2 linked regions of the Xenopus tropicalis genome follow. The protein of the gene in region 1 binds, or shares a complex with, the protein of each later gene. Links are inferred from orthologs where the notes say so. Each region holds a gene or a part of one and is shown in the gene's direction. Other genes may lie near its edges.

Region 1 (15,973 bases):
CCGACTCCGCCCATAAGCTCCCGTCCTCTCATTCCAAATCTGCAAAACAGCAGCAAACATTCTTTTAGAATACAGAAGGACATGAATAGGCTGAAGAGCTTACAATCTATTATCAATGGCTGTAGCAGGTCCCTTTTCTTATACTAAATATGTAGTTCTGTAACTGCTACGATAATGAATAGCAGATTAACTTTATTTTATACACACAGGGTAGGGTCCCTCTGTCGCTACCATAGAGCTGCCATACTGATTGGTTCCTTGTAGCTGTAGCTTCCATAGGCCCCTGTGTCTGCCTATAACAAGGTAAGTAATGCTTTGTACAATATAAAACCAACCATCAACTGGTTCCTCCTATAGAGATACAAACGCCAGCATCTAAGCAATGGCACAATGTTAAAGGACAAGTAACACCAACAAAAAAAATCATTTTACCTTTATGGTCCCATTGTGTCAGTGTGTCAGAACCCTCTATATACCCACACACTTATAGCCCAAACTACACTTGATGGAGTTACTGCTGTCGCTTTATTATTGAAAAACGGGTCAGAGTTGGATTAAGATTTGAACTAGAACTGGGTTTAGGCCCAATAACAGAGGGACAGATCATCCGCTAACAAGTTGGACAAGTCTGCCCCTTTAATTACTCACCGCAGACAGGAGAAGGTGCCAAATAGAGCGCCAGCTGCCATGCCCACGGCAAATCCCATCATGAAGCCCATCTTTACCCTGTCAAAGCAACTGGGCTGCGACTGCCCATATGGTCCTACGGCCACCGGCATCTGCAGAAGAAAAGGTACAGTTTTGGTTTAACTCATTTGCCCCTCAATTGGGATCCATTCTGCAGCCTGCACTGGTTTCTATGCAGTTGTACAGTTGTAATTAATTGCCCCCATTAGCCGTTTGGCACGTGGCTGTTATAGGCGGTCAGTTTTTGAAGGCAAAGGGGTCAACTCCTTCCATGTCCCTTCTCCCCCTTATCGGCAGGATCTCACTCGAACCCTAACAATGAGTTATTCCTTATTGCTATCACCCCAGTACCCTTAAGCATTTAAAGATGGGTGTTGGTGTGGGAGAATAGCACCTAAGCAGGGAGGTGGCAGCCTATATAAGATCAGAGGTAAATAGATAGGGGCGCCATGTTGGGCTACCTTGCTGTGGGTATGGCAACTTGCCAATTCTATGACAACAAACTTGAAACTAAAATCCCTCCTTCTGTACCCAGAGCCCATAATATACCCCCAGCCCCCCCACTGCAGGGTATTAGCTAGAGCCCCTGCCAATAAATACCCCATCCATCTACTGCCCCCCCCTACTGTACCCAGAGCCCATAATATACCCCCTGCCCCCTCGCAAGACTCCCCTTTTCCGAACTGATCTCCCGGTTCCCCCCGCTCCTGTCAGGGAACCATTAGCCCCGGCCCACGCTGGGCACTCACCTCTGTAATGTCCCCGGCAGCTCCTAGTGCAACAGGCCCGCAGCCTCCCACTGACGCCTTTTGGCTCCTCCCCTACCGGAAGTTGCGCTCCAGCCCCGCCTACCTGCGCCCCCGGCCTACCTGTGTTGTACCCAGTCCTGTTACACAAGTCCCAGCGCTGCACTGGGGGAGATGCTGAGCCGGGGAGCCGTCCGGGGCCTCCTGAGGGCGGGGAGTTGCGAGCAAAGCCGCGGTGTCAGGGCCTGTCATGGGGAAAGGAGAGGTACGCAGGGGGAGAGGGGAGGCCGCAGGGGGAGAGGGGAGGCCGCAGGGGGGAGAGGGGAGGCCGCAGGGGGGAGAGGGGAGGCCGCACCGTGGGGAGAGGGGAGGCCGCACCGTGGGGAAGCAGCTCGTCACATGACCTGTGGTGGGTGACAGGACTGGGGGCAAATAGGGCTTCTCACTGCTGTCATATAAGTGTGGGGACAGTAAGGTGTTAATGTCTGGGGTATTTAGGGGTTCTGGGGCAACTGTAATGGTGTCATGTGGGGGCAGGTAAGCAATGTAATTAAGGGCTATGGGCAGTGAGGTGCTGAGGGCATACAGGGATGGGGGCTTTAGTGTGGTCTGGTTAGGTTGGTACTAAGGTAGGCATGGGGGGCACTGAGGGATTAGGGGTAGGTATGGGGGGCACTGAGGGATTAGGGGTAGGTATGGGGGGCACTGAGGGATTAGGGTAGGTATGGGGGGCACTGAGGGATTAGGGGTAGGTATGGGGGGCACTGAGGGATTAGGGGTAGGTATGGGGGGCACTGAGGGATTAGGGGTAGGTATGGGGGGCACTGAGGGATTAGGGGTAGGTATGGGGGGCACTGAGGGATTAGGGGTAGGCATGGGGGGCACTGAGGGATTAGGGGTAGGCATGGGGGGCACTGAGGGATTAGGGGTAGGCATGGGGGGCACTGAGGGATTAGGGGTAGGCATGGGGGGCACTGAGGGATTAGGGGTAGGCATGGGGGCACTGAGGGATTAGGGGTAGGCATGGGGGGCACTGAGGGATTAGGGGTAGGTATGGGGGGCACTGAGGGATTAGGGGTAGGTATGGGGGGGCACTGAGGGATTAGGGGTAGGTATGGGGGCACTGAGGGATTAGGGGTAGGCATGGGGGGCACTGAGGGATTAGGGGTAGGCATGGGGGGCACTGAGGGATTAGGGGTAGGCATGGGGGGCACTGAGGGATTAGGGGTAGGCATGGGGGGCACTGAGGGATTAGGGGTAGGCATGGGGGGGCACTGAGGGATTAGGGGTAGGCATGGGGGGCACTGAGGGATTAGGGGTAGGCATGGGGGGCACTGAGGGATTAGGGGTAGGCATGGGGGGCACTGAGGGATTAGGGGTAGGCATGGGGGGCACTGAGGGATTAGGGGTAGGCATGGGGGGCACTGAGGGATTAGCGGTAGGCATGGGGGGCACTGAGGGATTAGGGGTAGGCATGGGGGGCACTGAGGGATTAGGGGTAGGCATGGGGGGCACTGAGGGATTAGGGGTAGGCATGGGGGCACTGAGGGATTAGGGGTAGGCATGGGGGCACTGAGGGATTAGGGGTAGGGCATGGGGGGGCACTGAGGGATTAGGGGTAGGCATGGGGGGCACTGAGGGATTAGGGGTAGGCATGGGGGGCACTGAGGGATAAGGGGTAGGCATGGGGGGCACTGAGGGATTAGGAGTAGGCATGGGGGGCACTGAGGGATTAGGGGTAGGCATGGAGGGGCACAGGATGAACTAATAAGGCCCATAGATAGGATTGTTTCTGTGGAAACAAGGGGAGGAGCTAAGAGCAGTTAGGTGGGGAAATAGGGTGTAATTTGTAGAATAAAGGAGACATTTGGGGCAGGTATATGCACAAACATACATTGCAGGTTATTCCAAGGGACTGGGACAGTTAAGGCCTGGTATAGAGGGGGGCAATACTGTGTGCCAGGCCATTTCCCAAACCTATTGTCACGCTGTGTTACATGCAATAAAAAGAGAATGGGATGATTTGCAAAGTTCCTCAACATAAAATTGCAAACACTCATTTCCTCAGCTACAGTACATAATATCATTAACAGATTCCGAGAGTCTAAAGAAATCTCTGTACGCAAGGGAAAAGCCAATACTGAATGGCCGGGATATTGGGGCCCTCGGGCTGCACTGCGTTGGGAACACTGGCGCCAATCAATGAAACACATTTTTATTTCTATTCATAATTTTTCTGCAGAGTGGCGGGTTCAGAAGAAGCCAGAGGAGTCGAATCTCCGCCCTCTATATATGGATGTTCAGGCGACAACCTCATTGGTCTGTATCTGCCAATCGTATTTCATTCCATGACTATTGTTGATTGCTTTGATCCCCATCAAAACCAAATGCTGTGCTCTGGCTTAAGGGTAAGAACCCGCGGACCGAAAGGGCTTTCCACCAGCAACAATATGTGGCACTAGGGGAAAGCCCTTCTCATCGCTTCATTTTCCGTAAAGCAGGGCAGGACTGCAATGTGAATGGCTTTTCACCAGTGACTCCTATTGTCCCGGTGGAAAGCCATTTTGGAGTGGTTAGTCGCTCCGTGGATTCTTACCCTAAAGGGACACTGTCCGGCCACAATGTTTTATTATGAAGGGCTTCTAATAGGGTAGGGAAGGGTAATACACAGGGTAATATTGGTCTTCTTTCAGCAGAGAAGGGCAATTCCTGCATTTTGACAAAATGTCTGAAATCTGCCAGTGTGCTGTGGTAATACAGTTATTATGAAGGACTTATTTTAAAACTGCTGCGATGCTGCTTCAGTTGCCTTGCTAATCTTTCTTTTTCTATACCAATTAATCCGGTAAATAGTTCAAACTCGTGCAGTGATGTAAAGAATGGGTTTCAAGTTTTCTAACTCAGCCATAAAGCAGGACAGGACTGCATCCTTATTTTAAAGGTCCTGTTTCTAAAGAATGTAATGGATTATCTAGAGCGTTTTTCAATGATCTTTCGGCCTACAGGATCCCAGGGTATTGGACCGAATGTTGCCTTATATGGTAAACTATTATGGAAACCCCCACTCGAGGACCCATGCGTATGGCTGGGAGACTGAGAAAGCTGTGGAGAAAGCTCGTGAGGTAGTATATTGCAAGAACTGTGTCCTGTATTTTATATGCTGTGGGCCACTCCAGTTATCTGCTCTTTTACGTGTTTGTGGGCTGGGGGTCAGATTCTTATAAAACATTGATGTTGTACAGAAGATTCTGAGCTCATCTTCCTTGTGATAGAGGCCATAAAAATCTCCTGGGGCCCCCAGAAGATTTTTATGGCCTCTATCACAAGGAAGATGAGCTCAGAATGTTCTGTACAACATCAATGTTTTATAAGAATCTGATATTTGATATCCAAGCACATAATGTGGCAGCTTGTGGCCCACAACCAGCCACATTATGTGCTTGGATATCAAATGATCCGCTGCCCACATTTGTTATTAAAAGTCTTCAAAAACTAATTCATTGGTAGTTTGGGCCACTAGATGGCAGTATTTGGCAAGCTACATATGGTAAATATTGCTCAGTACTGTAGCCTGGATTAATGAAATAAGGGATTTTTACATTTGGAAAGTGCTGTCAGCTTTTATGAGTTCCTATTAACTCCAGTTTTCTTCATTTCTGCAGCAAGTTGCCTCTCTGATCGGAGCAGATTCAAGGGAGATCATTTTTACAAGCGGCGCCACAGAATCCAATAATCTAGCACTTAAGGTAACAGCGGTGGTTTAAAGGGATGCTGTCATGCCACAATGTTTCAGTATTAAGTGTAGGGAAGTTTTTGCAATCTCAGCCATAAAGCAGGGCAGGACTGCTGCTTACAATGGGGTGGGGTCAGATAGGATCTCTGCCACTGTGACAGAATGCTCTGTTATACAGATAGCTAGAATCTCAGCCATAAAGCAGGGCAGGACTGCTGCTTACAATGGGGGAATCAGATAGGATCTGTGCCACTGTGACAGAATGCTCTGTTATACAGATAGCTAGAATCTCAGCCATAAAGCAGGGCAGGACTGCTGCTTACAATGGGGGGATCAGATAGGATCTGTGCCACTGTGACAGAATGCTCTGTTATACAGATAGCTAGAATCTCAGCCATAAAGCAGGGCAGGACTGCTGCTTACAATGGGGGGATCAGATAGGATCTGTGCCACTGTGACAGAATGCTCTGTTATACAGATAGCTAGAATCTCAGCCATAAAGCAGGGCAGGACTGCTGCTTACAATGGGGGGATCAGATAGGATCTGTGCCACTGTGACAGAATGCTCTGTTATACAGATAGCTAGAATCTCAGCCATAAAGCAGGGCAGGACTGCTGCTTACAATGGGGATCAGGTAGGATTGAATCCCATTGTGAATATCATTTCACTTCCTAGTTATTTGCATTTTCCCCATGGCCATAATTCCTCAAAATATAATTTTGTACGTTAAGAAGCAAATGCCACACGTCTCATTAAGGTCTCTGCATTACGTGAAGGGTGTTGCCAAATTCTACAAATCACGCAAGAGACACATTCTAACAACCCAGACGGAACACAAGTGCGTGCTGGATTCTTGCCGCTCCCTGGAGGCCGAGGGATTCCAAGTTACGTACCTGCCTGTGCAGAAGAATGGCCTCGTGGATTTAAAGGTGAGGTGACAGTGCCGATTTCCTTAACTACCATGATTGCGCTCTGTTGCCCACTGAGTCTCATCCAATCCTTGTCTTTAGGTGTTAGAAGATTCCATCCGGCCGGATACAAGCCTGGTATCTATAATGGCTGTGAATAATGAGATAGGCGTAAAGCAGCCCATACAAGAGATAGGTAATTGTACCCTCTGTCAGTATGTGCTTCTGGGGGTTCCTTACAGAACCAGAACCAGAAATTCCACTTGGCTGGTTGTGTACGGTGGTATTTTCTATACTCCTGTCTCTCCCCTCCTCCCACAGGGCAGATCTGCAGCTCCCGCAAGATCTTCTTCCACACAGATGCAGCTCAGGCCGTTGGCAAAATTCCCCTTAATGTCAACCAAATGAAGATTGACCTGATGAGTATCAGTGGCCATAAAATCTATGGACCCAAAGGTACTGGATAGAATTTATTGCCTCTATATCTTATTGCCTCTTTATCTTTTAACCTTTTCATTCAGCAGTATTAAAATGCAAAAATCCAACTCTTATTCTCTTATCTAGTACAGTCAGGAATCTCTGATACCTGTATAAATAAAGTACATGATTATTATTATCATCATTATTATTATTATCGAGGGATAGATACACGTAAAAAATGATAAGACTATTGGAAGTCTCTGGAGTTCTGTGACCAGGGACAGTGAGTCCAGTAACCAGAGAGCCTTCCCATTTGCAGGCTGGACAGGAGCAGAATTTAAAGGCTAATATTTGAAAAAGTTTAAAAATATGAAGACATTTGGAATGTACTAGAAGTTAATTCAGTTCAATTCAGTCTTCCCATTTAAGTGTTTGCGATGTATTTCCATCATCTGTGTAGGCCATGTGTCTTTTATATAGGCATGTTGTAAAGCTTTATTACAATGATACTTCCTTATATTCAGGAGTCGGAGCAATCTATGTCCGACGTAGACCCAGAGTCCGAATGGAGGCCTTAATCAGTGGTGGGGGCCAAGAGCGAGGCCTGCGCTCTGGGACGGTGCCAGCACCTCTTGTTGTTGGTCTCGGAGCGGCATGCAAAGTGTCTCAGGAAGAGCTAGAGGTAAGTACACATAATAAACACCAGTCTGACCCAGCCAATTACCTGCCTGTATGCAGGCGGCACTGGGATTTTTCTCTTTATATTTGTGACATGCCATGCCTTGTTTATGTAGCAGATTCAGTTTATTCCTGTACTAAAGGGGAACTGAAGCCGCTAGATTCATCTGCTTGTTCCTTAAGTGTTTATTTTTTTTAATCTTTATTTGTGTAGATTCACATTTAGGCACAACATAAAAGTTCACTAGCCAGTGCTGATGGTCTTTTCTGGAACCCTCTGGATACAGGGGAGCGAATAGAAAAAATATTGGAGCATATCTTACAGGAGAAGGCTTGCCACATTACTGGGTGGGGCACACATTTCTTTCCAGATGTACAGTGCAGTACAGCTGTGCCTGATAAGTTACTATGCTGTACATGTGTCCGGGAGGAGCAAGGGATAGCTGAGTAAATGGAGTAAAAGAGGCATCAACCTGGGGTGCAAATGTAGTTACTGAAGTGGGTACCTAACAAATTGGCCCCCAGTGATTTTGAATTTCCAAAATACATGTGTGTAATCCATTTATGAAAGGAAATTGAGATTCTTCATGTTGAATGGAGAATCAGAATCACAGTGCCCCCATCTTACTTTATTGGCAGGGTGAACAACCTAAGCAGTTCTCAGTCTTCTCACCCATGTTAAAAAAAAAAAAATACAATACAAATTATATTAAGGGCTCTGGCACACGGGGAGACTAGTCGTCCGCGACAAATCTCCCTTGTTGCGGGCGACTAATCTCCCCGAAATGCCATCCCACCGGCGAGAATGTAAATCGCCAGTGGAATTTCCCCCGAAAGTTGCCTTGAGAGGAAACCATGCCCTAAACCATGTGTTTTATTGCTTTTGCTGCTGTGGAGAAATGTTGCAGAAATGAGTACTATCTCCTGTGCATTGGCGCATTAATACTCTACAATTGTACATCTATGTTACAGTATGATCACAGAAGAATCAGTGCTCTAGCCAAAAGACTCACCCAGAATATAATGAGCCAAATTCCTGAAGTTGTTTTAAACGGAGATGCAGAGCATCGGTACCCAGGTAATACCTTCCCCTCCCCCAGCTGCATTTGTTAAGCTAAGGGACTTTGTTATTTGTGCCTAATACACTGATTTGTATGGTGGGCATCAAAAATGGCTGTAAACATTGAAAAGTCAGGGCAGGTAAAGCTAAAATCTTAGAACCGGAAAGTAGCCACCTTGCCACTTGATTAGAAAATAATGTCCCGTATGTAAGCCAACAGCCTGTCCTCTTGTAAGGGCATGAAATGAATTGTCAGGCTTATATTACGGGGCTTATTGTATGGTTACATTTCCTGACTCAGACAATTACTGGGATTCTTTTCCACATAGCTTAAGGTTTTCGGGGTGTTTTGACCACCAGTGCCCTCCAGCTGTAAGCCCATCTCCACCTGTCACAACATTAATGGCCTTGGGTGGCACACACACTCATCTGTGACAGTTAGACCTCTGTGCCCAAATGTTCACTTGCCATTGTATAACGTTAGGAACTGTAACAGGCAAAGGGGGTGTTTGACTGCTTGTAGTGGGCAGAACACCCTACGTGCCAAGTTTTCCTATGGTCTGGTTACAGTCTTCCATCTGTCTTTGTATATGACCTGTAGTTTGCATCAGTCACTGTGATTAATGTCTTACTTTCCGTGATGGAACTTAACATTTTTCTGACTGTTGAAACTGTAGCTTTTGGGATATGTAAACTGTGGCCATTATATAACTGTAAAATAATCACACTTTCTTGCCCCCACAGGATGCATAAACCTTTCCTTTGCTTATGTGGAAGGGGAAAGCTTACTGATGGCCCTTAAAGATGTGGCCTTATCATCTGGAAGGTATGGAGCACACATTTGTTTTCTGTTTTGTAATTAAATGGCAGCTTAATTCAGTGTTTCTTAGTCTCTCTATTCAAACCCCCATCTGAGGTCCAACCTTCAGGCAGGGACACTCTCAGCTCATGTTATATGTATGGGAAAACATTGATCTATCAGTCATACAGCCACAGTTCCAAGAACATCTAGGAAAGCAAATACATGTTTACTCCAACTCTCAGACTTTTCTCCAAGCTGGCAATAGGCATTCCCCCAAAATCTCACCCCAGCTCCTGATCCAGTGCAGCCTCACAGTTGTAAAGCACTGATATTAATATATATCACTTCCAACAGCCAGAATCTCAATGCCTGGTAAGTTATAGCCCTACTAACACACAGCGTCCTGTAACTCCTTGCAACCCCTTTGCCTCATATATATATTTAATTATACAGCCAATTTTAGGGGGATCCAATGCTGTAAGAAACACTTTTTTAAATTTAGATTAAATAAAAAAATTTCTCTGTGATTGGAATAACTGTTTTTTCCCTCTGCCTCTAGCGCCTGCACGTCCGCTTCTCTGGAGCCATCTTACGTCTTGCGTGCGATCGGTGCTGATGAGGACTTGGCGCATTCATCTATAAGGTCTGTTTTTACTCACTGTATCTTAATTTGCTACTTGTTTTATGTTTGGAAGAATGTTTTGTGCCCAAATAGGATAATGATCTTTCCGTAATGTGAAGCACCATACATCAAGGCAACTAAAAGTCTAGGAACCAAAAGGAATTACCAGCGCAGTGTTTGCGATTACAAGCAGGGAATCCACCCTTGTGTGTCACTGTGCTGGTAATCCCTTTTGGTTCAGCGTTTTGACACTGGTGCCGTCCCCCCTAACTTGCTGGAGAGGTTTGGGTGTGCATGTGAGAAATTCTACTATCTATGTCTAGGACTTACATTGACCAGATATGATCTTAAATGTGTCTATGTATATGTAAGCTGTATGTGTGATTTATAAACCCTTCTATTTTATAGCCCTGCTGAGACTGTGGAACTTTGTATATTTTCAAAATTATATGTAAATTGTAATTTCTGCCCATTAGATTTGGCATTGGGCGTTTTACTACTGAGGAAGAAGTTGATTACACAGTCAAAAAGTGTGTTGAAGAAGTAAAACGGCTGCGGGAGATGAGGTGAGGAAGATATACGCTGTAATTAGAGGGAATGATTAAAGGAATACTCGTCAGTAGTTGATATAGGTAGTCTGCTTTAAGCAGGAACTACTGACTAAAGGTGGCCATACAGTATAAGATCCGCTTGTTTGATGAGGTCAGCAAATGATTGGATCTTTTCTCCGATATACCCCCTTAGATTGACAATATCGGAGTAATCCGGTCCAATCCTGGCCCAATCAACATCTGGCCAATTTTTGGGCAGATATCGGTTAGGGAGGCGCATTTGAGGGCCCCATACACGGGCAGATAAGATGCCAAATCGGCAGCTTAAATCTGCCATTGCATGGCCACCTAAAGAATGTTTATAAAGGGTGAGGGTTCTCTTTTCAGAATTAACCTTTAATGTGATGTAGACATTAATGTTCCTTGATGATGTGCAAATTTTCCCCACTGTGGGCCCAGTTTTGTTCTGGATTTATATAGCAGTGATTCACCTTCTCTGATTTCTTTGCAGCCCGTTATGGGAGATGGTCCAGGACGGAATTGACTTAAAGAGCATAAAGTGGACTCAGCACTAAACGGCAGCCTACAGGGGATCGGTTCCAGCTGGATTCTGTGCCATATAGCTCTGTGCTATGGCCTCTGTTACACAAACTCTTGCTATTACTTTAGTTACCAGCCTTTTGCTTCCGGAGATGCCATTGTCTGATCTTTGTAGCCTCGACTCTCCGTGTAGTATTGAGCTTATAGAACAAGGCTCGAGTAATATACACAGTGGTTGCCTTCATATTACGCCTGCGTGAAACAGTGAAGGTTTCTGTACTACAGTACAATGAAAGGGTATGCAGAGCCTGGATAAAAACCAAACCTAACTAAATTAAACATAAAACAGAAAAAACATGTTTGATCCTTATGAGTAGTGTGTAAATAGTTGCTGTATAAAGGGGATGCACTATTACTGCTCAATTTAACCCTAATTTTTAACAGTTGTATTTAAGCCTGACTTGGGCAACCTGTGGCCCTCCTAGATGTATCGGTGATGTGGGGCTTGGCAAACTATAGGGCAAACGTTAGTGCTTTGGCCTAATCGCTGCTACTGAAACACTGCTGGTGGTCTACAAAAGTGAAGGGGCTCGGGGGAGACAATATAACTTTAGTGCCAATCAGTTTTAGAATTACATTCCTGCAAAAATTTCCTCTCCTAGTTAAACACCATGTATAACAAACTTTTTCCTTATTTGCCTTATGCTGACCATACACATAAAGGTCTGCTCATATGATGAGGTTGCTAAACAAGTATATGTCAAATCTGGTTGATCCAATCATTTGCCCCCCACCCAAGGGCAACAATCAAATCATTCTATGGTCCTACAGAGAGACTAGTCAGGAGAGGAAACGTCAACGAGCCCAGAGGGGCAATTCTATCCTTTTGAGGTGGCTCTTGTGATGGCGCCCCCAGAACTTACAGGGTCTGGGGGGGCTGCATCACTAACGCAGAGAGTGCAGTTGCCCTATCTGACTAGAAGAGACAAATTTCTGTTTTATAACCAGAAATATGTCTCTTAAATTTACAAGGAGCGTCTTTTTTGCCAACTTGTGGGGCACTGTCTGCTGCTCATATGTTCCTTGACCAATGTGATTTCCAAGCCTGCCTGATAATCAGCCATACTAGTCTTGTAGGAAGGGCCCAGTTTCCTTCATTATTCTTAGGTGGAAAGTAAGGGTTAAAAAATACATGAATATATAGATCATACCAGAAAATATAATCTGTTTAAAATAAGGCAGATTCCATTTAAATACATTACCCTAAACTCACCTTCTTCCCTGTGCTGCCTTGCTAGAAAAGGTTATACAGAGGATAATAGTATTAATATATTTTTGTAGCATGAGAAAGGGTGATTCTTTCCTGGGTCCTTTGCTGGACTTTGCCTATTTACAAGAAGAAAATATATTTTAGTTGAAAAAAAAAAATGTAAATAAATAAATCTACAATTACTACAATTTACAGATTCTTTCTTGTTGGCTGTTCGACATAAGTGACGCTAATATCAACCAGTCCTTACTGGGAAAACCACACCCATTATGTATTGCATTCTCTATACGCACAAGGAGGCACTGCGCTCTCCAACTTGATGCAATATGCTTAATGTGTGTGAGTTCTTGTGGGGCAGTTATTGAGCATTGGGGTCTCTGTTGTCTTAAGCCTAGATATTTTGGTCTGATCTTAGCAGAAGAGGCATTTCACCTTTAGCGTTATGGAATTTAGCAGTTGGTCTTAAGATGGCCATACATGGGCAGATTTCAGCTGCCTATCTGTTCTAAAATTGGGCAGATCTTGATCGGGTAGGTTCAATTTTCACTGGATCGGGACCACATTGGCTTCTTGATGCGGTCCTCGATCTGACAGTGCCTATGCCTTGTAATTTGATATCACCCACCTTTAGGTGGTCATATCAGAAGAAGATCTGCTCATTTGGTGACCCTGCCAAATGAGCGAATCATCCTGTGTATGGCCACCTTTTATTTTATTTTTTTTTGTTGGTTTGTGTTTGTATTGTTTGTCTTTTTATTTCTTAATTGGTCCTCCGTCAAAAGTGAGACTGACATTGTTCTCTGGTTGCTATGGGTTGATGAAAACTGCCTTAGAGTGTAATTCTATAAAAATAAAGTAAAGCTTTATTATTATTAAGTAAAGCATACATTGTAAAACCCACTGGTGTTGATTGTGGCTGGTATACACTGGCATTCATGTACTATACCTGGAAGAAAATAAATGTGTTTCTGACAATGCCCTCTTTTAGTTTCCTTCTGGTTTTAAAAATCACAAGAATAAAGCAATGTGACCATTACTTTGGCAGCTATAGATTGGATAACTAAGGCAACAGTGATATTCTGATATACAGCTTTGTACAGGTATGGGATCTGTTATCCAGAAAGTTATAAATTACGGGAAGGCCATCTTCCATAGACTCCATTATAAGCAAATAACTTTCATTTTTAAAAATAATTTCCTCTGTAATAATAAAACAGTACCTGTACTTGATCCCAACTAAGATATAATTACCCCTTATTGGGGGCAGAACAGCCCTATTGGGTTTATTTAATGGTTAAATGATTCCCTTTTCTCTGTAATAATAAAACAGTACCTGTACTTGATCCCAACTAAGATATAATTACCCCTTATTGGGGGCAGAACAGCCCTATTGGGTTTATTTAATGGTTAAATGATTCCCTTTTCTCTGTAATAATAAAACAGTGCCTGTACTTGATCCCAACTGATATAAAATTAATGGAAGCAAAACAATTTTATTGGGATTAATTAATGCTTAAATGATTTTTATGGTAGACTTAAGGTATGGAGATCTAAATTACAAAAAGACCCCTTATCTGGAAAACTGCATGTCCCAAGCATTCTAGGTAACAGGTCCCATAGCTGTATAGGTATATGCATATAGTTTTATATGTACTGATAGGTGTGGTCATGTATAATATAGTTTATAATTTACCTCCTATTGTAAAATGAAACATGGTACAGGATAGGCCACAGTAGATATTTCTTGGTAGAATTTAATAGCCTGGTAACTGTGTGCATAAAACATTGCTCTATATAGGAAATGAGCAGGCATGGCTCGGTTGAGCCAAAACCATCTGGAGCCGGGGGTTTAGGTTAAGTTTGGGTGACCAGTGTGCATTTAGGTTGGGAGTAGGGAGGGCAATTGTCTTCTGCTTCTGAAAATTCTTTTTCTTTGAAGCAGAGTAGTATATGGAGCAGAAATACACAGGTACAGGTTCCTGTAGTGGTAACATTGTACAAGTTGATGCGGGTTGCAGTTTTTCTGACCTGCATATCATTCCAAGTACCCAGAGGCCCAAACAGCCCAATAAATAGTGACTGTCTATGGCACCTTACAGCAGCCCCTCTGGCATTTGCCTGAACCCACAGATTGCCAGTCTGGGCCTGGGTCCTGGCATTCCAAGTACCCAGAGGCACAAACAGCCCCCCCAGCCCAATAAATAGTGACTGTCTATGGCACCTTACAGCAGCCCCTCTGGCATTTGCCTGAACCCACAGATTGCCAGTCTGGGCCTGGGCCCTGGCATTCCAAGTACCCAGAGGCCCAAACAGCCCCCCCAGCCCAATAAATAGTGACTATGGCACCTTACAGCAGCCCCTCTGGCATTTGCCTGAACCCACAGATTGCCAGTCTGGGCCTGGGCCCTGGCATTCCAAGTACCCAGAGGCCCAAACAGCCCCCCAGCCCAATAAATAGTGACTGTCTATGGCACCTTACAGCAGCCCCTCTGGCATTTGCCTGAACCCACAGATTGCCAGTCTGGGCCTGGGCCCTGGCATTCCAAGTACCCAGAGGCCCAAACAGCCCCCCCCAGCCCAATAAATAGTGACTATGGCACCTTACAGCAGCCCCTCTGGCATTTGCCTGAACCCACAGATTGCCAGTCTGGGCCTGGGCCCTGGCATTCCAAGTACCCAGAGGCCCAAACAGCCCCCCCAGCCCAATAAATAGTGAGTGACTATGGCATCTTACAGCAGCCCCTCTGGCATTTGCCTGAACCCACAGATTGCCAGTCTGGGCCTGGGTCCTGGCATTCCAAGTACCCAGAGGCCCAAACAGCCCCCCCAGCCCAATAAATAGTGAGTGTCTATGGCACCTTACAGCAGCCCCTCTGGCATTTGCCTGAACCCACAAATTGCCAGTCTGGGCCTGGGTCCTGGCATTCCAAGTACCCAGAGGCCCAAACAGCCCCCCCAGCCCAATAAATAGTGACTATGGCATCTTACAGCAGCCCCTCTGGCATTTGCCTGAACCCACAGATTGCCCAATATACACAATTAAATAAATAAATAAATAAAAAATAAAAGTATAAATGGGAAAACATGCCTTTTTAAAGCATATAATCACTACCCATGCCCTGCACCCCCTCTCCAGTTGTAGGGATGACTAATGTTTACCTGCCCTCTGTGCCCAGTCTATTCAGGTTATAATAGCTTTGCTGCTTCAGGTTCAGCAAAGAGGAACAGAAAACTTCTGTCTATAATTGCATGCTGGGTATTGTGGTTTTATCTTAATCTTAGCTGTAGGCTAATAGTAACTTACAAACTACATTACCCAGCATGCATTGGGATAGACATGTCAGAGGAATAAAACTTCGGCTAGTTTCTAAACTACAAACCCGCCAAATCCACAAACTTGTACCTTGGTGGGTTTGTACTGTGGAAACCCGTCTGGGTTTTAAATTAGTAGCCCAATTTGGTGGAAAATCTGGCAACATAACTACAGTAGCGGCACACTTGGTCGTATTGTTATGTTACCCACCCCTTTTTACCTCACAGCACCGCCTGAGCCGCGCCCCGCCCCCTCCAGCCTCCCTCTCACACGCTTTCGCGGGAGCGAGAGGAGCAGTGTCCCAGTGACGTCACCGAGCGGAGCGGCCGCCATCTTTGTGCGGCTGCTGTGGAGAAGAAAGGAGGGTGGCGATAAACCCTAAATATCGTCGCCCGCCTCAGCCGTTGGAGAAGCGAAAGAACGGAAGGGGGAGAGAACCCTCCCCTAGTGTTGTCTTACTTGTTATCTTTCAGTAGAACAGATAAGAGCGGTAAGAGAACCCCCAATTACCTCAGCGTGTCTGTGGGGGGGAAGCGCAGGCCTGGAAATGGGAGGATTTGCGGGAACCTGCTGCTGCTGTGCTTGTGTGGGGAAAGCTAGGGGATTGCTGTGGGGCGCAGCTATGGTTGTGTAGGCCGTGCT
Region 2 (14,944 bases), on another chromosome or scaffold:
TTGTTTCCCTGCAACTAGATGCGCCCAGCCCCTTTGCTCTTCTTACTCTTACCTAAGTGGTGACATCCCCTGCCGGTTAGTATGGAGCTCTAAAGAGCAAGGAAAGGCTTCTACTATAGCCCTTAATATATTGTAGAGCCCCCTTGCCTGTAGTAGATTGCCAACTTTATTTTTTAAAATAATGCTCCCTTCTCCCAAAATGTGCCTTTTAACTTTGCTCTATTTGCACTCTGTAGCGTCAGCCATCTTGGATCTTTTGTGCACCTAAATGCGCATCCTCCAGCTCCCCCCAGCATCGTCCCTGCGGCGACCAAACTTCCCCCCCTGCTCCCCGCAGCACTCGCCTGCTCCTTCTGTGTCCGGCTAATGGTGCACGCTCATAGGGGCCAGCTCAGATGGTAGGGGAGCATGCCTGCTTGTGTCACTGAAGAGAGACATGCGCATGCGCCGCCTAGTGTCCTGGGTTATAGGGTCTGTGCAGGAGCGATGCATTATGGGAATCCTCTTTACCCAGCTCGGCGTTTTTTTTTCACGTTTGGCTTCTGATCATCTGAACGATTGCAATATGGGGAGACTTGAGGGCACTATTGAGACAACTGAAGGTAAGCCTGCAGCTTGAGATTAACTCTTTGGTAGCCTTTACTTCTCCTTTAAGTACTTTGGTCCTTGTAGCAATCAGTAGAAAGCTTCCTGGGCTTTGCATAGCTGTTGTCATGGCTGTGTGGGACCAGAGGTGACCCGATTCAGCACAGCCCATAGCCCAGCACCTGTCCCCGGCCCGGTGGTTGGGAACCCCTGATTTAAAGCACATAGAGGCCCAAGCAACCCTGCACCAGCCCAATATATAGTGACTTTCTGTAGGGCTAGAAATGGGTCTGGCAGAAGAGGCATGTGCCCAGGGTACAATGTAACCTGTCACTAGTCTGGGCTCTTGTCCTCCCACTTCCCACTCGTCATTTACCTCCCCAGTAGTCAACATGCATGCATGCATGCAAAGGGGTGAGGTGGCTGGCTGGGTTGCCTAGGATGCCCAGCCGACTTGGCCCAGCACAAACTGTCCATGGCCATAGGCCTCTGCAAAAAGAGGCAAGGAAGGCCACTTGCCCCCCCCCCCCCTAGAATTCTACACACCTGACCCAGATCGGTGTTGAAATGTAACATATTGCCCAGCTTGTCCTTGGTTTTTCTCAGCTACCTGCTCCTTGAGAAAAGAATTAAACAATAAAACTGTAGCTTCACAGAGCAATAGTTTTTTTGTCTCAGGTGTCAGTGATCCCCTTTTAAAAGCTGCAAAGAGAACAAGATGGCAAATACTGTAATTCAAAAACTATGGAAACAAATAATAAAGACTTAAGAATATATAATTGAAAAGTTTAATAGAATTGGCCTTTATATAACAAACTAAAAGTGAAATAAAAGGTGAGCCATCACTTTAAACAGCCCCCTGGTTCTACACTTATTAGTTGCGAGCAGCGTTACAGGCTTTGCTAATAAACCTAATACGTACGTAAAACACAGTTTGCTTTTTACTTAATGACTCTTCCTCCCCGCAGTTTTTGCGGACACCCATGTCTATGACAAATACGTACAAAGGTTCTTCTAGCCTGGAATAAAAAACTGACCAAAACCAACTCCGATATCGCGCTACTTTATTACACTACTGGATGTAAACTACATCAATTCCACTTCCACGTTAGCGATAATAGGCATAAAGAGTCCCTTGACTTTGCGGTTGAACTTGGTAAACCTAATAAAGTTATAGGGCAACAAAAGAAACTTATCCCTGCAGAATGAGCTAAAGCCCAAGTACATGACAGCTCCACACTTCAACGTTACACATAATAGAACGCTGAACCTTATTACGCAACCTGGCTGCAACAAACTTTATTGTTGGTTACGCCCCCTCAGGCCATGTGACCCGCACGTTGTGTGGCGTTGGCACGCCGCGTCCCTATTTGCTAGCTGCGCGAGTGGAGGACGCTATGGCTGGCGTGGGCCGGGTGTTTTGCTCCTTATGGAGAAAATGTGGGGTGCACGAGTTTCGGGTGCCTTGTGCTTCTTATCATAAGAAGGTATGCAGCGCTGTGCGTGGGGCGTACGGGGCCAATACGGAACAGGGTAGTGTGGGAGCAGGAAACGAGTGTTACATAAGGTGACACAGGTGTCACAGTGACAGCGCTCGCCTCGCAGCCCATACTATAAAGTACTTATTGCCAATGCAAGCCGACACGTTTATCTTTTAACACCGTAACCATCTTTACAGAGGACTACAACATGAGTCGTTTTAATTCTTAATAGAAGGCTGTCAGCTTCGGTTGTGGTGAAATACAGTAACAGCAGCCAGTGGGGTTGTCAGCTTCACTTCCCCGAATGGCTTGAGAGAAAAGGTGTCTCAAGAGAGAAGCCGAGTTAGCAACTGATAGGAATTGACAATGACTGACTCTAGCACTCTGAGGGTATAGGGAATATGGTAAAACTTTATGCTAAGTAAGACATGTTTGCCATAAGAGATACTGACATCAAAAATGTATTCTTTTTTTTTTTACTTCTGTCATACCATAGGCTTTGCATGCTATTGATTAATTTGCCAGAAAAGTATTCATCATGCTGTCCGTTAGAATTACAAGCTATAACTGACTGGCTAAGAAGGGACAGTCAGGTTGGTAAAACTGGTTTAGGACTTCAAGTAACAATTACTCACAAATGCAGCTCTTTCGGTAAAAAACGAGCAACATGACCTATAGGCAACTTTTCGTGGACATTTGTATTTTGAAGAGTAGTTTTTTAGTGTCAGTATCAAATGTACATATATAAATATAATTCACTGCACCACTACGGTAGCTGAAGTGTTTCAAGGTTATGAGGGGACATTTACGGGAGAATTCAGGAAAAGGAAATATTGTGGTTGTGATGCCAAATTCTCAGACTTATTTTTCTGCCCCTATAGACAGTTTTGCAAAAAATATCATTAAAAGTATGCATGGCTATCTTTCTGTCAATACCTGTTGTGAGTTTCTCATACAAGGCACTTTTGGCAAGCAAAAACACATTTGTCAAAAACAAATTATACATCTCTAAATTACTTTTTGTTTTCATTAAGAATTTGTGCCACTTTATTTCCTTTGGCTGCTTTCCTGTGTCAACAACACATACAATTTGGATTGTGGCATGATAGCTAATCTTCATCTTGGGGGTGGTCAGTTTCATTCCTTCGCTGCTAGTTGATTGGCAGACCTGACATTATATTTAACTACATCTTTCCTGGATGAGGGCAATCCTGTGATTTGGTAAAGACCAAAACACCCATATTCACTGGCACCGGTATTTAGTAAAAGTTAAAAGTATTTAAAACAATTTAGAGATATATGACTTTTAAAATGCTCTGATGGTTAATACGACAGCACATAGTATAGATAGGGATTTTGCCATTCTTTTGAATGGGAATGAAGTATGGGTCAGGATAGGTGTTTTGACCTTTGTAACTCTCCTTGAAAGAACTAAAGCACTGTGATGCCTGTGCTATAGATATTACAGATGTTTGTTGTTTACAAGATAAAATCTGATGCAAGTGTTTACAGGGGCTCAGCATTCATTGCCTTCCATTAAATTTGCAGCTTATATACTAACTGAGCAAATGGCAATTTTACACAAAAACTTTTGTACCAAAGTTAAGGTACATAAGCTACCAAATAAGGACTGTGTTTAGTTATTTGGTAGCCCCTATGTGAACTGGCAGACTACAGGAGGCTCTGTTTGGCAGTGCACATAGTTTTTATGCAAAAAAAAAAACAAAACTTGTCTGTAAGCCAGAAATTAAAAAAATAAACCCCTGCTTTGAGGCCACTGGGAGCAACATCCAAGGGATCGGTGAGCAACATGTTGTTCTCGAGCCACTGGTTGGGAGTCACTGCCCTAACCCATATAGGCCTAGATCTAACTAATTATATGCAGTGCTCCCTAAAACAGGGTTAAATCTAGCATTTCAATAAAAGTGGTTTGGTGCTTATTTTACAGAAATGTAATGTTTGTATTCACGTTGTAAACAAGGCTGGCATAAAAATGTGGGTCAATATAGTGACAGAACATTTCACTATTAACAGCAGTATCTCTGTATGCTGAATAGTACCATTTGTACTCCATAGTTTTTCACAGCAAGCAATAAAAAAAAAAAAACATTGTACAGATTTTTTTTTTTTTTTTAAACTAATTCATTTTTGTTAGTAATAATTTAAAGGAGAACAAAAGTTATAATCACTGGTAGGTGCCAAAATGTTAGGAAGGAAGAGGATCGCTCACCTGCCTGTGTAACAGGAGCACCAGCCAGGGGTTTCACGTAAGTGATTACAATCACTGGTGCCTTGTGCCTAACATTTGACTCTCCTCAGTGATTTAGCCTTTCCTTCTCCTTTAATTAGACTTTTTCAGATTTTGTGGCCAAGCTTACGTTTGTGTAGGTTTCATTGTTCTCTGGCACTGTTCCCTGGCATCTGTAATAGATTTGCAACCATGTGTGACTTTTTGTTGCCACAAGATTAGCAGCAGAAGTAAACATCTTGTGACTTGTTCAGACCACAAGTTCTTTTTAATTTGTCACTTGTCACATAATCATAGAGGGCACAGAAGATGGCCAAGTAACCTTGGCCATATTTATACAGATTGCTGTGTTTCTGTCCCAGTGTAATTACAGGCCTCAGAATTATTTGCATTACACTCAAGAGCATATTTTTTAACTGTTTAAATTAACATCACCTCTAAGGACAAAGGAAATATTGTCTTCTTAATAGACTCTATAAGGACTAATGAAAGTCTATTAAGAGAAGATAAAACTGGAAATGACTACAAAATGTTGATGCATTAGCTATGACATCATGGGTTTTATATCAATACATCTATCTGTAGCAAAGTGTAAGCCGATGCTTCAAATGTGTGTTCTAAACAGACAGTTAAGAAAATTACCATTCTGCATGCAAAAATAACTGCTTGTTAAAGATGCTTGGTTGTTTTGTCTCAGCATTTAAATGGTGACTAAACCCCTGTACATATGTTTGTACTCAATGTGCATGATATAAACCTTCTGTTGTGCCCAAAGGTACATTTGCTGTATGACAACCTAGGTTCCCTCTCACTCTGATTAAACAAAATTTAAACAAAATTAGACTAGTGATACTAGTATACTGGCATGGGATTTCGTATCTGGAAACCCAATACCCAGAAAGTCTGCACACTCCATTTTAAGCAAATTGTAAAAAGGATTTTCTTTCTCTCAGTAGTAATAAAACAATGCCATGTACTTTACGGTAACTAAGCTGCATAAATCCATATTGGTCGCACAACATTGCTAGTGGGTTTATTGTTTAAAGTTTTTTAGTAGACTTAAAAAGGTTGTTCACCTTTTCTAAAACACTTAAATATGTTCACATTAACCAATACATAAACAATCTTTGCCATATAAATAGTTAACAAAAAATAACAATTTAAAGGAAACTATGTAGGTCTCTATAAAAATATATTGCATAAACAAGTTCATAAGTAAAACCCTGCTTCATCTAAATAAACCATTTTCGTAAAAATATACTTTTTTAGTAGTATGTGCTAATTGGGTACTTCTAAATAGAAAATTGGGTTGGGGAGCAACATGTTGCGCATTAGCCACTGGTTGGGGATCACTGCTCTAAGCTGTGGATTAGGCACCTCCAGTGAAACAGATCACTATTTTTCCCCAGGCTGGTGCTCCTGTTATAAGAAAACTGCACCGGCCTGTGGGGAAAAAATGGTATCAGCGCTGCGCCAGCATTTTATTTACATTCCAACCAGTGTCTTTTGCGTCAATACCTGTTCATGCGTGTGCACTGGGGAAACCTGTGAAATGTTCTCTACTGTTCATGAGCAGAATGCCAAACACCAAAGGAATGTTTTTGAAAAACAGATTTCAATGCAGGATTCTGCTGTAGAAGCTTTATTAACGGATGGGTTTGAAAAAAATCATGTTTTCCCATGACAGTATTATTTTAAGATACGGTATGATCCAAATTTTGGAAAACCACCTATTCCTACACACCAGCTCCCAAGCATTTCAGTTGATAGACCTGTGTTTCCTTCTCATGCTGAAAAGTACTTAGACCTCAAGTTTTTCAAACTTCTTTGTATTATGTAAGTAAATTGTATACCGGCATTTCCTCACAGGTAGTTGATCATTATGAAAATCCAAGAAATGTTGGATCCCTTGACAAGAACGCAAAGAATGTTGGGACTGGGTTGGTGGGAGCACCAGCATGTGGTGATGTCATGAAACTACAGGTAAATGCTGAGTGTTAATGTGAAATGGCTTTTCATAACTAGAGTTGAATCTAAGATTTGTAGCTCTCTTGTGTTTTTCATATTCCTCTTGGTTACAGAAACAGCTCATTATTCTGTAGGGCCACCATACCTAGGTCATCTAAGGACTGGTTACCATTTTCTTAAGAATCGCTACAGATTAAAAATCTCACTTAAAACGATGTATAAGTATAATATAGCTAATTTGGCATGTGATATATTTTGGGTTTTTTTTAGCACTGATTGGGGGACAAAGAGTTCACTTAGAACTCACCAGATTTGCATATGAACTTTACAGTTTGAAAACCAGATTAGTTGTGTACATGGAAATTTTTAAAACTTAGCTTTTTGTTTTTGTAATTTTTTCCTAAAATTCATGTCAGGCAGACATTTTCCCATATGACAAAATTGTGAATCTCGGACACCCGTTTTCCAATAAAGTTTTAAAACGTAACATTTTGTTTTTGTAACTTTTTCCACAAATCATGATGTATGACATTATGAACCTTAGACACAGGTTTTCCCATACTCTATATTGGCCTGCTTTCTTCAGTGCTTTGTTGTTGTAGGTACTATTATTTCTTCATGGAAGACATAGGTTTAAAGAGTTTTTACACAGATGCAGTGAACAAGCAACACTGGCAAACAGCATATTCTTTACTTTTTATACTTCTTGCTACTTTATCCTCTAAGGCCCATTTTTTAGTGCTGTACTGGGATGGTAGTTATTATCAGACTGATATTTGCTTTGTGTTTCACCTTACAGATTGAAGTGGACAACAATGGAAAGATTATTGAAGCCAAGTTCAAAACGTTTGGTTGTGGGTCTGCCATTGCCTCCAGTTCTCTTGCCACAGAATGGGTTAAGGGAAAAACGGTAACATGACAATTGCTTTTATAAAATGTCTTCACTGCCCCTATAGTAAGGGATTTAGCTATCCCTTGTGAATTAGCATGATATTTAGACACACATGACTTGGATGTTAAAATAAGTCACTTACACTTATAATGTAAATAGCATTTCTTTAATACTGCTCTACTGCCACTCTAAAGTTTCTAATGAGTATATTCAGATAGGCAAGTCATATACACTTAGACAGGAGTCATTAGACTGTTTAGGGTAAAGTAATGGCCTGTTTTTTTGCTAATTAATATTGTATTATTTGTTTATATTAAACACAGGTTGATGAAGCTATGACTATCAAGAATACAGACATAGCCAAAGAACTCTGCCTTCCACCAGTGAAGCTGCACTGTTCCAGTAAGGGTCTTTGCTCTGTATTACCAGACTTATGAATGTTATCATATTTCCTGCATATTTTTATGTAAAAATAATGCTTTTTATAGATTAGGCAGAAAATGTTTGTCTCAGCAGCTTCTATGATCAGGTGCATAGATTCACTAGGAATCCTTCACTAGGACCCAAAGTAGATTTTCATTTACTTTTCCAATGAGGTGTACAGAATAGTGCTAAAGGTGCCATAACACACTGACTAAGCTTTTTGACAGCTGTTTTTTGAAGTGTCACTCTAATTCCATAGGAGAGGCAGTGGAGTTTTCATGTGGTGATGGCACTGTAGGTGAAAACATGGGAAGAGGGAATTTTTTTGTCACCTTTAACAGTGATGGCACACACGGAAATTAGTTGCTCAAAATAAATCTTCACTACCATGGGCAACATTAATGTAATAATTTAGATTGCTGGTGGGAAAATGTATGCATTTCTTTTGATTGCATATTTATCCTGGGCGGGCGACTTTCTGGGGTGCCATCACTCTAAAGGGCATAGTTGGGAGGCTTATATCCCACTGCTCATTATATATTGTTTACTGCAGCAATACTGTCAACAAGCAACCAAAGACAAGGTGCAGGGAATGTTTCAGAGGCTTTTAACTAACTCACTGCCACAGTTAACAAGACTGAAAAATATTTTATTTAAACATCTTGTATTAGTTATGAACTAGTTAATATATTTATCTAACTCTTCTGCACATTATTTCATCTCTGATTTGTCTCTTGTAACCTTTTGTGCCTATGTTTTTTCCATTTTATTTAGTGCTGGCTGAAGATGCCATCAGAGCAGCCCTGGCAGATTACAGACTGAAGCAGGATAAAGACGAAGCTGCAGCAAGTGGCTAGCTGAGCAGAGTGTGAGCTCTACTATAATGGCAACATTTAGTCACTTTATGCTGTTCTTTTGGGTATTAAAGCATGTCTTTACCATTTGAATGGCAGACTTCTGATACGCACAATTATTTAGCAGCTTGTCAAACTGTGTGAATCTCCTCCTAATAATGTGATTATTTTCAATTTGCAAGCTGAGTATACTTAGAGTGTATAAACAAAACTATTTTGTTCTTTATTCCCTAATGTCCAAGACCTCCACCTATCCTCTGTTCACATGTAATTTCTGGTTTAAACACATGGCACTACATTACAGTGCCAGGTTTGTCATACCTTCCACGTAAAGTAATATAGAAATTTCATCTAGTCATCTAGTTTTTGTTTAAGTATTATTGGGAAATGCCACAACGCACATCTTCAGATGCACAACGATTGTGAGGATGTGTGGTTTTTCCCCGTCTGTTTCCAGCACCCTTATGTTTGAGTTCTTGATAAGTCTTGTACGGTTTTGTATATAAATGGCTATGCATTCATAATACAATATAAAACCCATGCTGAATTACAAGAATCAAACAAACGTTGCCACTGTGTTCTGATCCAATTTGTGTGGCTCTTACTGAACTGAAATGCAATTGTTCTCAGAAAGGTTCATTTTTGAAAATTAAATGTCTGACTGGAAGCCCCTGATCCCCTCCTTCTGTTACCAAGACTGGGTTTGCTAAGCCATATCCTGCCAGAGAAAAGTACATTGAGTTAATTACATTGGGCCTTTAATAGGGAGTGGCATGTTCCAGGTATCATACCAGCAGCCCTGAAAATTCCCCATTTTGAGTACTCAGAATGATACTGGTAGAATCGAAAGCAGGGATTATATGATGCTTCTTAGTTTTGTATGCAGTGCATTTGACCAGCTGCCTTTTGCTTTTGTATATATTTGGTAAAAGATAATAAAAAAAGAAAGTGTTATATGTGTTGTCTTTTTGTATTTTAGATAGTTTGCTGCTGTGTGGGTGTGTGTAGATATATGCATATTTGCTAACTGTACAGCATGGTATAGGCACCATTTATGCCTGATCCATAAATTATGACAACTCTTTTATAATATTTTAAATAGTATGAAGCAGGAAGCACAGCCTTAATTGGGTGGTTCACCTTTAAGTAAACTTTTATTATGATGCAGAGGGTGATATGCTGAGACAATTTGCAATTTTATTTTTATTTTTAATTATTTCAGTTTTTGTTCAGCAGCTCTCCTGTTTGGAGTTTCAGCAGCTATTTGGTTGACTGATATATGAATAGGAGAGGCCTTACTAAGGTAACAATAACAATAAAACTTTAGTTTCACAGAGCAGTAGTTTTTTGGCTGCCGGAGTCTGTGACTCCTGTTTAAAAGCTGCAAAAAGTTAGAAGACAAGTAATTCAAAAACTATAAAATAAATAAATAAGACCAAAAGTTGCTTAGAATTGGGCATTCTATCAAATACTAAAAGTTAACTAAAAAGGTTAACCACTGCTTTTAAGGTGGCCATACATGTTCAGATCTTAGCCTTCTTCTGATGGACATTCAGATATCCATCATACGTTTAAATGCAACGATCTAAAACTAACATTCAGACTGAAATTGTAGGATAAAGCCATAAAAATAACAAATCGGAGGATGTTCTGAACATGAAATAGTTGGCGAAAGTGACTTCCTGGAAATGCATTGTAGGTCCCCCCAAGTATATTGTCCGATACACAATACATGCACAGATTTTATTTTTATCTGACTAAAATTTTCTAACCGTCCCATCAACTAAACAAGTAATCATGAAAATTATCAGGACGATAGTTGGAAGCCCACACATGGTCCAAAAATCAAACAATACCTAAGTTTTGTATGATCGGTGAGTGTATGGGCAGCTTTATTGGTTTTTTTTTTTTCTGTTATCCATATGGTGGGGTGGATATCCATTTTAAAGGAGACATATCCTATAAAAATTATGAATGTACCAGTGAATTATACTCCTCTAGATATAGAAGGAATGTGCTTAAAAAATTGTGTTTCTGACTGATTTATTGAGAAATTCCACAAAAACCCCAATAGCCCCGCCCATCTGTTCCACTTCCTGCTGGCAGAATTCTCTGGATGAGCTGGGGAGCCGGCGGCCCTCAGTACACTGCACTGTAGGATAGGAACCAATCAGCAACTTGGCTGACCTGTGCTTGTGTGACTGCAGGGCTGTGATTGGCTCACCCCTCCTACTGTGCTTCTGGCAGGGACCGTTAGTACACGCCCACTCCATTTCACACGGGACGGAGAAGTGATACGATCTATAGGGAGCTCCAATAAAGGGGCCATTTTTATAGAGGATTAATTTTTAGCACAAAAGGAAACCAGCACCGTATATTATTCATAATTGCCTACAAAAAGCGTTTTTCCCATTAATCCTATATGTCTACTTTAAACACAATTGTTAAATATTGGCAGTTTTAACCTAGGGTATATTAAACTTAAAAAAAAAATGCTCACGAGTATTAGTAAAGGAAGCAGGAAACAAGCCTTCCACCAGCAGAGGTCGTTACAACTTAAAGAATGTGAGTTAGGGATTTCTAACCATTTTGTTACTACACAGGAGAGGATCTTTTGGTTCACTGTTTGAACTGGGCTCCCTTAGTTCAAAATAAGTTGCAAATATATGAAAGTATTACTTTATTAGCCATTTAGTCATAAAGATAATATTCAGGGCAGCAGTTAAGTTATTTTCCTATATTACAGACTAATACACTTTCACATTGGAGTTATAGGCATATCCCTCCCAAACAGGCAATTCTTTCTAATTTTCACTGTACCTTGTTTTCAGGCTGAATCCCCCCCATCCCCCAGCCATTCAATGCTTCAGACCCCTGTAGGAACAACTGGCATAGAGGGATGCATGTCTGTCTGGTGTAACAGATGAATGTAGCATAGCAGAAAGACAAATTGCAGATGGTCATAAAGAACACTATCTCCTGTATTGATTTAATTTGTACAGATATGTTGGCACATTATACTACTAAATTTTGATAATGTGTTAATTTCATGGTGAGCTACCCTTTATATTTTGGTACTTAGCTAAGTCTGAAGATTGTGTGATCAACCCAGGAAGTGAGGCCATATACGTCACTCGGTTATATATGTTTACCCCCTTGCCTGTCAAAGATCATAAATTCTCTGCTGCAGGTACCCGACTGCTGTCGCCATAGAGTTAACATTTCTGGGTTACTCTTTGATCTGTGCCGTAACCCTGCCAACACAGTGCAGTGAGATCAAAGAGCCTTGGCAGTAAAGTGCTTAGTATATCACTTGCCCATTCTTTAGATAGAAATATCTGATTCTTCAGTCCCACAACTTGGAGGCACCCTGCTAAAGTGGAGTACCCACCTGTTCTCTCCATACAACCATGATTGGGGTGGGGGACTCTGGTTTGCTTCATTACAGCACAAGCTGTTGTAGAGTAGTAAAATCGACCTACCGGAAGACATTGATGCTCACATTTTTCTTTTTTATACTCATAAACTGTGTAACGCTAATGTTTTTTTGTTACAGTGTTACAAGTAGAGTATGAAAAAATTGTGAGCATCAATGTCTTTCTGTAGGCTGATTTTATTACTTCCTAGGGAGAAAAAAAGGAACTGGATTTTTAAGGCATCTCGTCACTGCTTGAGCATGTTGGCCCAGGCATCTGTTTACTTTGGCCTATTTTCTGAAGTGAGAGAACTGCCTGGGATTTTAGAGTCTTGTACAGAAAGCAGGGGAAACAAGACCAAGGTTTTAAAATAGACTGTACCACCGACTCAGCTGCTTGATCAATACTTCCTCATGGTGTAGTGCGGTGTATACATTTTTACTGAAGTAAACTTTCTCCCTCTTAAAGATATTCAGCATGTCATAAACTGGAGCTACTTTAAATAGACTACATACCATTTATTAAAATGTTCAGTAAAGCAGTATTGAAATACTTCTATACTGCACTGTGTTTTAGGAACCATTTTCCATTAAAGAAACATAATTATGAAAAATAGAAATTTTGTTTTATTTAGTAACTTGCTTATTTAAACTCTCTTGGCCCCTCAACATCACAGTGGCATTTTGGGGGTAAATGTGGCTGAAAGCCCAAAACATAGATTATATTGTGTAACAGTTGTTAGAAATTGTTACATGAGCAGAACATTTAACAAGGCAGATGCTAGGACTGGGCAGCCAGTGCCGGTAGGAATTCTGAAAGCAGTCGCAATAGTGATATTGATCATCCAACAGCTGATGTGTATAAGGTATAATCTCTGTACAGCACTGCCCAATAGGGGGGCACTGTGTAAATAAAGAATAATAATCAATATCACCCTCTTACATGTTTGACTGGACTGCATGCTTTCTATAGTCATCATGCTGTCATTAGCAGATGGCTCTCTGATACCTACCTGGTACTTCAGCAATTATATTTAAGAATAACTACAGCCATTGAAAAATATTCCAACCTGGGAGCAGATGTGACAACACACTGCACAGCTCTGCAATTTACAAGGCACTATGGGGGGGACAGTTAATTTGGGGAAAGTAAGGGTTACATAGCAGAGGAAAGAGCTGAGGCCCTAGCCCTGGGTACTAAAAGTAAAAAAAAAAAAAAAAAAAACACTCCCCTTTAACTCTATCTGACCTCCAATAACTCTGTTCAAGAGAAAGGGGCCCAGCTTTACCAGGGATTGTTGTATGCACAAAGTGCAATTGAATGATCAGCTAATTCTGTTGCTTCTTGATCAGGGATTGAAAAAAAACTTTTAACACTTATACCCTGAGATGTGAAGCTGGTTTGTGTGTCCTATTTCTGATTTTGTCATCAATATATCATATTTCTCGCCAGACATTTAGAAACATTATCTCGCTTCTACACTAGGAAAACCAAACCAGAGCTAACTGCTACATAGCATTATATGCCACCAGACTTGTCAGTTCCACTTGGACCGTTAAGAAGCACACCTTTACCTTCAACAAATAAGAGAATTTCTTTGTTGGAGTGATCCCTTTGCCACCCCTACGCAAAGCAAATACAACCTTAACACTTCCTCTACTAGTCAGTTCTGCTGACTAAACCCTACCAATGAATATGGCTGAAAGTTCCATATTTTATATACTGCATTTACTGCACCAGCCTAAAGTATCAGCATCTCTATAGTAGCAATGATCCAGGCTTATAAAGTTCCCCATCTTGAATTTATTTAGTTAGGAGTGTCGGTGACACTTACAGTACATGCTCAGTGTGCTTTGGGCGCTGTTGAGAAGCTGAGCTTAGGGGTAGTCACATATTATCAAGCCAAAAAATAGGTTGGCCTTTCAAGCTGATGCTAGTTGCACTGGTTTAAGAGCTACTATGTAGGAATAATCTGTATTCAATACAAATCAGTTTTATATTGTGACATTTATATTCTATATATACAGTATATTGTGCATCAGTCCCTAAACTCAGTAACTAAGATCAGGAACACAGAGCATGTACAGTGAATCAGCAAAAAGAAGATGGGGGGCTACTGGGGCATCTTTAGAGGCACAGATCTTCCCTGCTAAAGGCCTGTGGTTGCCTTGGGCTGGTACAGAAGCCCAGAATATAATGTACAACAGTTCTTCCCTAATTATGCATCATCTAAAATCTTTTGCAGAAGAAATTGCTGATTGTGGAACCCCCTGAGCCCTGGGCACTTGCCACCTCTGCTCCTTTATTAAAGCAGCCTGAACATGGAATTGCCTCCAAATTTCAGCAAAATCTTTCCCATTAGAAAACAGCATCTACAGTTTTATCTTTCTCATTCACCAGAAAGGAGGCAATGACATTTTCCATCTGGCTCTGTATGTTTCATTGCACCCTATAAGCATTTGTTATCCAGATGGATGTGATTATTTGCAGTGTCCTGGATAGCAGATCAAACATTTCTAGCCGTTCCTTTTTGTGCCATTTGTATTTCCGCCACTGAGAACCTCTGAAGAGAATCCAATTTAGAGAGATGTTTTTGAAAGGTTGCATTTGCTTGAAACCAGATGAATGAAATGCTTTCTAACCTCTGCCCTCCTATGAGCCATCAAAGCAAATAATAATAATGACATTTTTATTACCCTGTTGATATTAAAATGCCATTTAAATACTTTTCAATACCGATGTAAGATTGTATTTTTGACTGCTGTGTTTTTGATAATTTATGGCATGTCAGTATTATTTATATAGCAAAAAGCAGGCTTTTTACTCTTTAAAGCTTTTTTTTTGTCTTAATCCTTTATTATAACAGTGTTAGATTTCTTTGCTGACGGAGCATTGTGCCAGTTACAGTTGCATGGAAGCTATACATGCTACTGACCACTGTAGTCAGGGCTGCCATTAGGGAAGGAAAAGGTATACAGTTGTGCTGGACCCTGTCAGATCCTTTTTCACAAGGGGGCTTGGCCACGTTGTGAATGTTCTGCAAATTGTGTAAGATATGTATCAAAACATACATATAT

The links.
Region 2: the proteins of nfs1 (region 1) and iscu are in contact, whole or in part, in a crystal structure (PDB 6W1D), measured with the Homo sapiens proteins. The link is inferred for Xenopus tropicalis from reciprocal best matches to the Homo sapiens genes NFS1 and ISCU. Residues at the interface, in NP_066923.3 of Homo sapiens: Tyr360, Val361, Glu362, Glu364, Ser365, Leu367, Met368, Ala369, Lys371, Glu399, Asp400, His403, Ser404, His429, Arg432, Leu433, Glu435, Met436, Ser437, Pro438, Leu439, Glu441, Met442, Trp454, Thr455; in NP_998760.1 of Homo sapiens: Tyr35, Val40, His42, Tyr43, Glu44, Val49, Gly50, Ser51, Leu63, Val64, Gly65, Ala66, Pro67, Ala68, Cys69, Gly70, Val72, Lys74, Phe90, Lys91, Thr92, Phe93, Gly94, Cys95, Gly96, Ile99, Lys135.

The regions. Positions count from the first base shown.
Region 1 is NC_030686.2:42,809,809-42,825,781, reverse strand, and holds nfs1 (cysteine desulfurase, mitochondrial), read left to right. Parts: upstream 1-1,586; 5' UTR 1,587-1,607; coding exon 1,608-1,698; intron 1,699-3,675; coding exon 3,676-3,752; intron 3,753-4,438; coding exon 4,439-4,555; intron 4,556-5,095; coding exon 5,096-5,179; intron 5,180-5,943; coding exon 5,944-6,096; intron 6,097-6,177; coding exon 6,178-6,271; intron 6,272-6,396; coding exon 6,397-6,531; intron 6,532-7,019; coding exon 7,020-7,177; intron 7,178-8,145; coding exon 8,146-8,251; intron 8,252-8,977; coding exon 8,978-9,059; intron 9,060-9,594; coding exon 9,595-9,678; intron 9,679-10,133; coding exon 10,134-10,223; intron 10,224-10,719; coding exon 10,720-10,783; 3' UTR 10,784-12,997; downstream 12,998-15,973. Other genes in the region: romo1 (reactive oxygen species modulator 1), read right to left, coding at 1-39, 649-779.
Region 2 is NC_030677.2:146,312,843-146,327,786, forward strand, and holds iscu (iron-sulfur cluster assembly enzyme ISCU, mitochondrial), read left to right. Parts: upstream 1-1,953; 5' UTR 1,954-1,982; coding exon 1,983-2,072; intron 2,073-6,183; coding exon 6,184-6,297; intron 6,298-7,081; coding exon 7,082-7,192; intron 7,193-7,497; coding exon 7,498-7,576; intron 7,577-8,371; coding exon 8,372-8,454; 3' UTR 8,455-9,395; downstream 9,396-14,944.